Regions from separate parts of the Mus musculus genome. Here regions 2, 3 and 4 are each reported to be linked to region 1. The links are microRNA targets in miRTarBase. Many come from high-throughput screens and were not tested one by one. Region 1 holds a microRNA gene; each other region holds the end of a gene's coding sequence.
Evidence for each region. Region 1 holds the annotated microRNA mmu-miR-717 (CUCAGACAGAGAUACCUUCUCU, at 1,889-1,910, shown strand). A microRNA usually pairs through its seed, bases 2 to 8, with sites in the 3' UTR of a target mRNA and lowers its output. Matches are read on the target gene's strand: a 7mer-m8 pairs with bases 2 to 8, a 7mer-A1 pairs with bases 2 to 7 and ends in A, and an 8mer does both.

Region 1 (3,000 bases):
CTGTACTGAAAATTTCCCTCCAAAAGGTATTAATAATAATAGCTCCAATCCGATCTTCAAATGGATTGATTACATATCTTACCCCAAAGTGAGCACTGATCCTTTGAGTGTACTTGGGTAAAATTTGATCAGCATGTTATTGAATTCCACATTTTATACCTCGAACTAAATATAGAATGTGTTTACTTTCAGCACTGCTGATTACCATGGCTTCTTTTTTTTCATAATACAGAGAATGGAGTCCAGCTTTGTGTACATGTTAGGCAACCACTCTACCATTCACAGCCCCTGTAAAACGTATTTAAAACATCTATAGTTTTTGTCTCAGAGTCACCTTGATTACCATTACCATATATCTACATGTAGATTATGTGTATTTCATGTACAACTCACTCATCTGTTATATGTCTGGCATTTATTCCTCTCCCAGAATAGTTGCCAAAATTTTCTGTAGCTAATCTCATTGACTGTCTTTAGTCCACAATAGAATTGCTCATATACTCTTTTGTTGTTGTTTATTTCCAAGAATGTAATTTAATTACAGCATTTCTCCCTTCCCTTTCCTCCCACCTAACCCACCCTGCTCTCTATTAAGTTCACGCTCTTACCCTCTTGCTTGGCTGCTGGCAGTTTTCTTTTTCCATATTTGCTAGTGTACTTTGCTGACTCTCCTTAGCATGCCCCTGGGTTAGGGTTTCCTGGACCACAATTTTACTACCTTGACTTAGACCGTTTCACTGAAAGTTGTACAAAATTTCTTTGTATCACCACCCTTTCTCCCTTTCTTCTGTCATTGTGACTCACTTTGGAACTCCCTGGAAGAGTTTCTGCAAATGTCTATTACACATTTCATCATGCAAGCCATGTGCTGGACACTGAGCATCATCAAGAGGGTAGGGAAGCTGAGCATAGAAGATTCTTTTGCTCCATTTAGGGGGTCACTAAGCCAGCAGGTCTCAGAACTCAGATTCAGAGCTGGGCCTGTCTGACTCCCAAGTTCTTGCTTGTTACCATGACTCTATATTGCTCTCTCAAACACTTCCATTCTCTATTCACTAGAATCTTCGTTCCCCAAACACAGCCTAAATTGGTTTTTTATTATATTATTTAATATCCTGTATTACTCCCTACTGTTTTTCCAGCTGCACAATCAATTTTTGAATTCATTCTCTCTCCATGGAGACTCTTGCTCTACTATTTCCCAATGAAGAACTAAAAGACATGAGGTTGTTTTTTTTCCCCTTTTCTCTTTTCCTATTCCTAACACTTAAAGGAACAGAATAGTTTCTAAGAGAATATTTGTATAAGCTCTACCTGTTAGTGTTGTCAATGTTGAAAACTCTATTAAATTCCACTTGCACTGTTGAGTCCCCACCCACTGGAACAACAGAGAGCCATCTTGGTTTTTGCAGCGATGGAACTCAGGGCCTTGTGCATGTTAAGTGTTTGCTCCGACACAGAGCTGAATCACCAGCTAGCCTCAAAGACAGTTTTCACGCTATCTGGTATTTATCCTGAATATCGAATTATATTCAGACGTCTACTTTGGTCTTTCCTTAGGTAGTAACTTTGTCTACTGAAAGCCTAACCTATGCCAATATCTGGGCACACCCATTTCTTTGGCTACAATGTTTGAAGAAGCAATACAGTCAGTATTTAATCATGGATGGTAGGAAGCTTGGAGGCAGATTCTCCCTTTGAGCTGCAATAATAATTCACTGTCAAATTCGTGCATTTTGCTGTCTGTGTGAGTGACTGTAAGTCATCAGAATTTCCAAGATTAGCCTTACCTTTCGTCTCTGCCTTTGAAGGCTGAGGCCATTTCTCAGATGTCAGTTTGTCCGAGCTTCTCTCCTTGTCCGCTATCACTGTACCGTCATTTTTCAGTCTCAGACAGAGATACCTTCTCTGAATTCATAGAAGCTGCTCTCCGTTCCGAAGGGATTCAGAAGTGATAAATCCAGCAACTATCTCAGTACCTCATTAGTGTCTGCAGGCCAGCATCGGAAACTGCAATAAGCAATATTATTCAAATGAGGTTCGTTTCAGACATGACAGAAAATTTACATTCTGTCATCTTTTTTTTTTTAACATTCACAATAAAAATAGTGTTAGTGGTTGCTATCGGACAAAGGTGGTGATTTGGTCTCTTGTTCTGTTTTGAGGATTCTTTCACAGACTGGCACTGAACATATGGTCCTACTGTCTCAGCCTGAGAAAGGTTAAACATAGATGACCTAATTATTGAAAGACTGACTACAAGGAAGAATTGACGCTATTGAGTGTTAATTTCACAGGAACTTTCCAAAACTAATCATATGAAGAAAGCTTTTGAATGTTTCATCCTGATGTAACCATGCAGATTTTACATTACTTTAGGCAATAAAATAGGCTCTCTGCAAATCTAGCATTGTTTGCCTTCACCTAGGTGAGGGACAGCGTGATGATGAGAGTTGCTCTTTCGTGCTGTCTTCGGGAATATGTTTCTAAATCTCTTTTCCATGATCAATGAACTGATAAGATGAGAATATGCTCTCAACAACTGTGGAAAGTCTGGGATTTCTCCTCAGTTACAAGCTAATACGTCGGTCAACTGCCATTTTACGGAAGCCAGTTAAAGGCATGAGTTAAGGGCAGAACCATTGATTTCTCACAGCAATGGCGGTAACCAGAGGATCAGCATTTGTGTCTAATTCCCTAGCCTCAGTTGCCATGGGGCAAGGCAGAGAGGGCTGGATAACACCTGCAAATGCAATGCGGTGCTTTACTAGAGAGCATTTTCAGCCTAGAGAACTCAAATGTATCCTTAGCACTACAAGAATAAAACCAAGCAAGAGCGTGATCTCTTGGTCTAATGGCTAGATTCTCAACATTGAACCTGGGTAACTTATTTCCCATCACTGCTAGTGCTCACTTCTCTGAGTGGAGACACTGTAGCATCCAAGCTACACAGACACTACATAAAGATACTTGGAAGAGATAGTTTGCAGCAAACAGTGG
Region 2 (3,138 bases), not on the chromosome of region 1:
GAGGTAACCCAATCACAAAAGAACACACACAATATGTACTCACTGATAAGTGGATACTAGCCCCAAAGCTCCAAATAACCAGGATACAATTCACAGACCACATGAAGCTCAATAAGAAGGACGAGCAAAGTGTGGGTGCTTCTGTCCTTCTTAGAAGGAGAACAAAATACTCACTGGAGCAAATATGGAGATAAAGTGTAGAGCAGAGACTGAATGAAAGGCCACCCATAGATTGTCCCACCTCGGAATTCATGCCGTACAGCGTTACCAAACCAGACACTGTTGTGGGTGCCAAGAAGTACATGCTGAAAGGAGCCTGATATGGCTGTCTCTTGAGAGGCCCTGCCAGAGCCTTACAAATACAGAGGTGGATGTTAGCAGCCAACCACTGGACTGAGCTCGGGGTCCCTAATAGAGGAGTTAGAGAAGGGACTGAAGGCATTGAAGGGGTTTGCAACCCCAATAGGAAGAATAATATCAACTAACCAGACTCCCCCCAACCCCCCACTGCCCCAGAACTCCCAGGGACTATGCCATCAACCAAGAAGTACACATAGCTCAAGCTGCATATGTTGCAGAGGATGGCTTTGTCATGGATCAATGGAAGGAGAGGTCTTTGGTCCTATGATGGCTTGATAAATAACCCAGTGTAGGGGAATCAAGGGCAGGGAAGTGGGAGTGGGTGGGTGGGTGAACACCCTCATAGAAGCAGGGGAGGGGGGATGGGATAGGGGGCTTCTGGGAGGGGGGTAAATCAGGAAAGGGGATAACATTTGAAATGTAAATAAAGAAAATATCCAATAGTAAAAAAAGAAAAAAAAGGATGTATTTATTATTTTATATATGAATACACTGTAGCTATCTTCAGACACACCAGAAGGGGGCATCAGATCCTATTACAGATGGTTGTGAGCCACCATGTGGTTGCTGGGAATTGAACTCAGGACCTCTGGAAGAGTGGTCAGTGTTCTTAACCACTGAGCCATCTCTCCAGCCCGTGGTGTTTCTTTTTTTCAAAAAGGTTTGACTTCTCTGTGTACAACTGTCTTTGCTTACATGTCTTTGCTTACATGGCCTTGTGCACCCCTGGAGTCTGAGGCAACCAGAAGCACTCTGTGGGTGCTGGGGACAGAGCTCAGATCCCAGACAAGAGCAACCTGTGCTCTACCCGCTGAGCCAGCTCTTCAGGCCTGTGTGCATGGCATTCCTTAAGAACATGTGCCTGCACAGGAAACCCCGGTCACACCAAAAGCAGGCGGTGTGCCGTGAAAAGGGTCATGGAGGCTGTCTTGAAGTGTGCAGGTAGAACTGCTCGCCCAGAAGGCCAGGCTCAGGTGAAGCCCCCTCCTTACCCGCTGCTGCAACCGATAGCTGCTTTGGGCTTCACCCTGAAGACCTGTGTCACAGTTGTTGAGAGATGAAAGAGTGCCAACTAACAACTTCCCGCTAGCATCTGGGCCTTCCTTGGCCACGTCCTCGGAGGTCTTGTTTCTTCACAGGCTGTCCTGGCAGAAGGAGCTTTTCCGCCGTGAACAGGGCTGGGCCGTGCTGGGTAGAATTATTAAAGCGTGGCACCAGATTTGAGTTGTGTGGCCATTTTTCTGGGTATCAGCGTGATTGCAGACCGCGATGACCATGCCCTCTACAGAGGAGCTGGAGTCCTTCAAGTACAGGAACCTGCAACATTTAGCCAAAAGGCTGGGTCTCCGGGCTCCCCTGTGGGCAGACAAGCTGTTCAGAGCCTTGAAAGCACACCCGAACCCAGAAACCGGGCAAGAAAATAAAACTCAGGATGAAAATCAATCTGCATTCTCTCTCTGTTGAGGAGACTGAGATACAAGGTAGTAGTGAGGAGCAAGCTGTCTACCCCAGTCAAAAGCTCTTTTCTATCAAAACTTTCAGACGTAATTTGTGTAGTGTCTCTTGTGTGCTATATCTGAGAATATGTTATCACCTAAAAGTTAAAAAAAACAAAACAAAACAAAAAAACCAAGATTGATTACAAAGGCGCAGTGCAGCGAGCAACAAGCTCGATTGGGGCAGGGCTATGACTCCTCTCTCTTCCTTTTTGGCCTGCAACTGAGTCTGCCCTGGAGCCACCAGCACTGCTGGATGTCCTGCCTACCGAAGATGCTCATGGAGCATTCATCTAAGGTCACTTATAGGCGCCTGCAGGCAGCACTGTGCCGTCGAAGCTGTTCCCTCACCCCAGGACCCAACACTTTGTTTTTTAAGTACCTGGAGCTGGGAAGGGACCTGAATAGTGCCGGACAGAGGACAGGGTTCGGCCTGGTTTTATAAGTACCACGGGAAGGCTACAGAGAGCAGCACAGGGCCTTCACACAAACACTGACTGGACACGGTCTTCTTTCACCATCAGGTTCACTAGCTTCTCTCTTACTGAATGGTTCATGCCTGCTTTTTGTCCCTGGCATTTTCTAGTTCTGCAAGTACTAGAGTACAACGGGCACACCCAGGCCACACTGAGATCTTAAACAACGCCAGCTCCTCCAGTTAGTGTCCCCTTTCTCCATGGTTTCAGTGACTTCTGGTCAGAAGCCACGGCTGTGGTGAGGTATGGGTTAGGAAGCGCGGCTGTAGACAATGGTACCTGTGACACACTGAGGGGCTACGGCAGGATTAAAAATCGGAATGTTCTAAATGTCACCTAGAGGACAAACACCGAGACAGAACCACCAGATGCCTGACATCAGTGAGCCTCATCTGTGGCACAAACAGCACCCAGGGCTTCCAGCTGGCAGCAGAAGCTGGCAGCCACTTCAGATAAGTCTGTCTCCTCCACACGGCCCCCAGCCTGGGCCGAGCACCTGTCAGCAGAGAAGAGCTGGCTCTGTCCTCAGGGCTGGGCTCTGAAGATATTTTTCATTTCCCAGGAAGCAGGTCCCGTCTTCCAAGGTCCCAGGAGGGCTAGGCACGCTGCATGGCCCCCCGCAGGGAGCTTTGGAGAGCACAGCTTGGCCGCTCTCGGTGCCCACACTCTCCTCCTCTTCGTTGGAATAGTTGCCCGAGTCCTGGCTGGTCTGTGAGCTGTACTTCCTGAGGTCCTCCTCAGGCGCGTGCTTTACTTCTACAGCGACCGTGTCTGTATTCTCAATGATGAAGCATCTTTCCGTGTGC
Region 3 (3,138 bases), not on the chromosome of region 1:
AGACTTCGTACCACCATTGACCGTGCTAAGCCTGTCTGGTAAGACCCAAGTCCTTGATGGCCTGGAAGATCTGGAAGCAAGCTAGAGAACAGGCAGGAGCCACCTCTGACTTCATCCTTGTCACTCCCCCTCTCTGTTTCTCTCAGGTATGCTGGCCGAGACCCGGCAGCTGCTCCAGCCACTGGCAACAAGAAAACACACCTGACAGAGCTGCAGCGCTTTCTGGACACAGCCTTTGACCTGGACGCATTCAAGAAATTCTCTTAGATGCTCCTGGAGTTGATGAGGCCATGGCCCCCATGTCCATGACGCTCTTTGCTTCTCAACTAAAGAATAGTGCCTCAGCACTGTCCACACGTCCCTTCGCTGTGCCACACCACCCCTGTTCTCATAGGAATTAAGTTGTCCACTGCAGTGCTCAGCTGCTCCCCGGTCACATGCTGCCCAGCCTGTGCCGACTTCTCTCAGGCTGCACACCGTTCATGGAGACCGGAAGGAGCAGAATAAGGAAAGGGCCCCTCTCAGGACATCCTAGAGAAGGAAGGCAGCTCTGGCCCCACCCATGCCCCCAGTGCAATCCTCCAGGGTAGGAACAGAACCCTATGTGGCTTCCCAGGGTACTAGCACTCAGCCCTCGTCACCCATCAAGTCGCAGATTCAAGGCCAGGAGTAGTTTCATCTTGCTAGGGCCAAGCTGAGAGCTCATGGAGGAACTATAGCTGCCAGGATTTGGGAGTCATCAGGATGTTGTGTGAATAGAGATTGTCATGGGGTATTTAGAGGACTTTAGCAGTGATGTTAGTCTAGCCCTGCTACCCTTCTTGGGTTTGGGCTGTATGTGGGAAACTTACCCCAGCTACCACGCCTGGAGAGCTTGGCTCTGAGTACGGCCCAGAAGCTCCATTGGCTCCCAACGCCAGGCACTGCTGCCTCTTGGTCCTGCTGCCTCTGCTCTCCTGACCCCTCCCCAGTCACTTCATTTTCTCTGTTGTTCCCTTGAACACACAGAAGCTGTTGACGAATTCTTTTTTTTGCTGTGCCAAGGCAGGTCAAAAGCAGATCAGTGGATAAGAGCAAGTTGTCCCAAGGAGCCAGCTGTCCTTCCTCCCTCTTTTGACCTCCACTGGGACACACCTGATTTATTTATTTTGGTTAAAAAAAAAAAAGGAAATGAAAAAAGAACAACCACCTTTGCATTGCATCGGCTTGACCCATAAACTAAGTTATCATGGCCAGCCTGCCTGCTGTCGTGTGTTCCGCCTCCTCCCTGCCTGCCTGAGAACAGTCTTCTTGTTGGGGTGGGGGGGTCCCAGCTGCCATTTGCCAACTGGATGTGTGCCCCACAGCTTTCTGTTCCCCCTCATGGGCAGCAGCCATTATCAACAGCGCAGCCTGGGCCTTCAGCATCTCATTTCCCCTGCCACCCATTATCTTGGTTTTAGGCATGTCTAATAACTACAGTCGGCACCAGGAGAGAATGTCCTGGGACAGGAACAATGCCCCTTACTCTCAGAGGTGGGACTCACAGGACCAAAGTTTGTATCTGCCTGTGGTCGGCATGTTGCTGTCTGGTATCCCCTTCTCCCTTGGGACAGCCAGGCTGTTTTGCATACAAAGCTGGACTAGAGGAAGGGAAGCTTAGCGGGGTGTGGGTGAGTGCAGGACAGGATCTCCATAAGCAGTACACCTGGGAACGCCACAGGAGAGCTAGTTCATTCATGGGGGGGCAGGATTTATATGGCCATGGACCATTGGCCGGGGCAGGGGTGTTGGAAGATACCTCATCTGCATGCTCAGGGGCAACACTTTATAAGGTCAAACAAGTGAAGCCTGATAACTGCCAGGTAATAAATTCTACTGGGGTTGATGATGGTGAGGAGCCAGGTTTATGGTGCCATGTTCAGAGGGGGAGGGAGCCAGTTCATGCAGCCCTCATGTTTAAAGTATCCAGTGCCCTGGGCCATTACGGACCCACACTTGTTTTTGAATTTTGTTTTGCTTTCAAGAATCAAATTGACTTTTATTATTCATATACTTTGTAGAAAGGGGGATTTAATAAACAGGGTAGAGCTGTATGAAGGATAGGGTCCTTGGAGGCAGCTAGTCTCTTCCTTGACTGGTCTTGTGTGGGCCAGGTAACTATGGTTGCCTGCAGTGGAGGTGTCAAGCCTAAGGAGGTGTCATTTTGTAACCTTCCCCCTGACTTCCAGCTATTTGGGGCTTTCTGTCCCCTCCTGCAGTGTTCTGAGCCTTCAAGACAATGGCATGAGTAAGTTGTGAAGGCTGGACCCACATCTTGATACTTGTTTTCTGCATCTTGGGCAGCTAAGCATCTGCCTTCTGTGTTCATTCACCACCATTCAATGTAAGAAGATGCTTCTCAGCCGGGCGTGGTGGCGTGCGCCTTTGATCCCAGCACTTGGGAGGCAGAGGCAGGTGGATCTCTGAGTTTAAGGACAGCCAGGGCTACACAGAGAAACCCTGTCTCGAAAAAAAGAAAAAGAAAAAAAAGAAAATGCTTCTCTGATGAAAATTGGGCACCTCTTTTGTCTAACGGTTTAAATAGGTATTTAGAAAGCAACGTGTTGGGCTGGTGAGATGGCTCAGTGGGTAAGAGCACCCGACTAAGTTCAAATCCCAGCAACCACATGGTGGCTCACAACCACCCGTAATGAGATCTGATGCCCTCTTCTGGTGCATCTGAAGACAGCTACAGTGTACTTTACATATAATAAATAAATAAATAAATCTTTAAAAAAAAAAAAATAGAAAGCAACGTGCTACTACACCAGCTTAGTTAAGTCCACAGGGACAGCTATCTCCACAGGCCTGGCTTATTAGACAAGCTTCTAATACCAGGCACTGACACCCCCATGAAGGAGTCTTGAATCCTTTAACAACTACCACAACACACACACACGTCAAGACACTATTACACACAAAGGCATATCATGGTGTTCCTATTGGTCTCTTTGTCCTCCTCTTATCCTGGCTAACCCTCCATCTCACCTGCCTACATTTCCCTCCTATGGCATCCTTCCTTTTTGCCTGTGTCTACCATCTCATCTCCTTTCAGAAATGCCCTTCCCGGGCTGGTGAGATGGCTCAGTGGGTAAGAGCACCCGACTGCTCTTCCGA
Region 4 (3,138 bases), not on the chromosome of region 1:
TTTAACACCCTTGCAGTCCTGTGGCCAGCTTTGTGACAGTGTTTCTATTAAATTATTCCCCCATTAGGGCAACATAGAAATGACTATTAGTTGAAAACTTACACATTGAAGAAATGTCTTAAACTGTAGGGAAAAAAAAATTTCAGATTCTACTGAAGATTTCCTCTGGAGCATCTGCTCTGACCAATAGGAACCTGCAGGGCTCTGAGGCTCTGAAGAGGCTGCCATTCCCCTGAGGGCTCTGAATGGGAGGAGGCTGCAGTGTGGGCATGTTCGCTCAGTGACTTAGCAGTACTGGCTGCTGTACTGCTCATGTGCGGAGGAGTTTCAGCCGTCAGAAGTGACCGTGTCTTCTGTTTGCAGGCATCCAGCTCAGCGAGTACTTGCCAGAGGTGACGGACCTACTGCGAGCAGAGCAGCTGGGAAGCCTCAAGTCCAACTCTTACTTTGAGTTTGTTCTGAAAGCAAATTATGAGTATTATGTCCAAGGACAGATGTGACATTTGTAGAAATGGTTGTTTCTAAAATTTGTGTAAATATTTGCTTATTAAAAAAAAATATTGAGGCCAAAAAACTTAGGTCTGGATCAACCTGAAGTCTGTTTTGTCTGCAGCAACCAGGTTTTCTATGCTTTATATGGGAGCCGCGATATAAAAGGAGGGGCCCTGATGCTCTTTTTCAGCTGTAAGGTATTTCCTCCTCCTCTTCCACCTGAAGTCACCCTTGCTTCTGTGTAGCTGCCCTTCTCCAGCCTCCCTCGGTCCAAAGAGGCAGCAAAACAAAACAGGTTGCCTCGCTCCCCAACTGGTTGTCCAATACCAGCCCTGAAAAAATATAAGAATGTGTATAATAATATACATGAATTTACATGCAAGTAACGTTCTATGGGCTGAGCAAGTGTGTCTGTTTATTTGGGTCAGCAATTAAAAGATGCTACAGGTTGGAGAGCAGGGCAGCGGAAGTGAGGAAGTGTTGGAGATGGCAGGGGACGGGGAAAACAGATTGCCCTCTGCATGTGGCACTCTGGGAGTCTCTGAGAAGCTGATCTCTTGGTCGGAGGCAAAGGGAAGTGCCTGCTTAGCAAAGTGAAGATGAGATGTCACTGATTTATACTGTGGCCTAGAAACCAAAACCCTGGGTCTAACTCGGGAGGGTGGGCAGCTGGTAACTCACTGGGAATGTTCTCACTTCCTACATTGATTTAAAAATTACAAGCAAGGGGCAGGGCTGGAGAGATGGCTCAGTGGTTAAGAGCGCTGTCTACTCTTCCAGAGGACTTGAATTCAATTCCCAGCAACCACATGGTGGCTCACTACCATCTGTAATAGGTCCCAGGGCCCTCTTCTGGTGTGTCTGAAGACAGTGACAGTGTACTCACATATATAAAATAAATCTTTTTTAAAAAAAAAGTTAAAACTTAAAAGCCAAAAAAGCCATATATATATGTGTGTGTGTGTGTGTGTGTGTGTGTGTGTGTGTGTGTGTGTGTGTGTAAAATTAAAGGATTAAAAGTGTGGGCCACTGCATCCATCAATAATGGATAAGTCTTAAAGTGTTTTAGTAAGATGTTTGTGTGGCTTTCTGAGCTGTCAGTAAGTTGTCATTGCTACCAGATATGGTACTGGCATTGTCTGTGACCCCAGTATTGACTCATAAACCTAGGATGGTTTCTAGTCTCACCGTAGACGGTCCCTTCCTAAACATCGTAATGCCAAGGCTGGTCTACCCAGAGATGTTGCTCTGAGAGCTCTGGCCATGGCCTACCTGTCTGAAGAAGGGGGCTAAACCTTTATGGCAACTATCGCAGCTTCAGAATGGTTGGCATGTAAACTTACTCCAGCAGTAAAAATGAAATTAAGACTTTCAGTGTTGAATATCTTTCCCTCCTAAGTTTTAAAAACTGGTCACATAATCCATCTCTGAAGAATGAATGATTTGTTTCTAAGTCAGGTAGCTAAGACTGTCTCCTGGTACCCGGTGTACATTCTTGGGATCCTTCTCTTGTTGGCCTATCCGTTAGTTCAGCATGAACTAGTTAGGACTGTGAATGGCAGCAGCCACCCTTGTCCCTGAGGTGAGTGTGCTGTATTCTGAGGATGTGTGAGTCAGTCAGGACCTGAAAGGGCCCTGGCAACCTGTACAGAGCACAGGGGGAAAGGTTTTGTTGTTTTATTCTCTTGACTGGATGCTATGGGGAGAGCCAGAGGTCTGCAAGACAAATTCATGGTGTTTCGGGCTGTCATGGTTGGTCCCACATTCTGAGTGTTCCCAGTGTGGCCTCCCCCACCACTGCCAGTCTGTCCTCAGAATGGCATAATATTCATGTATAAAATACAATATATGTTGAAAAACAATGTGTATATATGTTGTATATATTTATCATATGTGTATGATATGTGCATATAAACTCTGGCTGGCCTCAAACTCTCAGCCCCTGTGCCTCAGCTTCCCAAGTCCTAAAACTGCAAGTGTACACACCAGCCCTGGCTAGAACAATTTTTTTAAGGCGTGTGAAGCCTGACATTGAGCTCATATCCAAAATAAACACAAGTAACTGGTGGACCTGGAAGCTGGGCTTCTGTTTTGAAATGAGCTTCAGTCGACCACCTTTTGTATTGTGTGGGCAATGGTGAGTACTTAGCACACCTTTGGACTTCTGTTCTCAGAGGAGCTCCAGTTTTCCTTCTCCTGCTGGGATGGCAGGTCCTTGCATGCATCTGCATTGCCTTAATAAAAACGAGGTTTTCTTTTTGTCTGCTTTTCACTTGTAAGAACCAGCTCCTTACGCTCGGCCGCCCAGCCCGAATTCAGTCCCCAGTGTGAGTGGAGAGGGGACCAGCTCCCTCTCCTGTCCTGTCCTGTCCTGTGACACGCGTGCCTTCCCTGTCAGGCTCTGAGGTTCCAGAACTGCTGCTGCAAGAGTTGAAAGGGTAGAGCCGACCTGTGCTGCTGCTCACTAGGGAAAGACAGACTGATGCTAATACAAGCCTAGGCTGCAACAGGACTGAGGGATTGCCGTGCTGCCTGTTAGTTGTCCTGTTTGCTTCTGGTAGATACCGCAAGGACTTACAGGATGTGAGGGGTAAAGGGGCAAAGGGGGGGGGGGGGAGATTAAGAAGAGGTGTGGGTGTGTCGCAT

Region 2: miRTarBase lists Ifnar1 as a target of mmu-miR-717. Seed matches in the 3' UTR shown: 7mer-A1 at 1,898-1,904 and 8mer at 864-871.
Region 3: miRTarBase lists Ogdh as a target of mmu-miR-717. The part of its 3' UTR that is shown has no 7-base or 8-base seed match.
Region 4: miRTarBase lists Nup133 as a target of mmu-miR-717. Seed matches in the 3' UTR shown: 8mer at 1,351-1,358 and 8mer at 1,766-1,773.

Annotation. Positions count from the first base shown.
Region 1 is chrX:52,421,371-52,424,370 of GRCm38, reverse strand. Mir717 (microRNA 717) reads left to right here and starts at 1,856; the gene lies at 1,856-1,964. The region is part of intron 3 of Gpc3 (glypican 3); the gene reads left to right.
Region 2 is chr16:91,505,105-91,508,242 of GRCm38, reverse strand. It overlaps Ifnar1 (interferon (alpha and beta) receptor 1), which reads right to left. Exons shown (of 11, transcript NM_010508.2): 11 at 1-3,138. The coding sequence ends at 2,832. Among named protein-coding and RNA genes, the nearest start is that of Mir6367, 21 kb to the left of the region's middle.
Region 3 is chr11:6,355,408-6,358,545 of GRCm38, forward strand. Ogdh (oxoglutarate (alpha-ketoglutarate) dehydrogenase (lipoamide)) reads left to right here. Exons shown (of 23, transcript NM_010956.4): 22 at 1-38; 23 at 147-3,138. The coding sequence ends at 267. Among named protein-coding and RNA genes, the nearest start is that of Zmiz2, 38 kb to the right of the region's middle.
Region 4 is chr8:123,896,736-123,899,873 of GRCm38, reverse strand. It overlaps Nup133 (nucleoporin 133), which reads left to right. Exons shown (of 26, transcript NM_172288.2): 26 at 364-2,751. The coding sequence ends at 500. It overlaps Gm29773 (a long non-coding RNA gene), which reads right to left. Exons shown (of 3, transcript XR_879336.3): 3 at 738-824. Among named protein-coding and RNA genes, the nearest start is that of Gm29773, 3.5 kb to the right of the region's middle.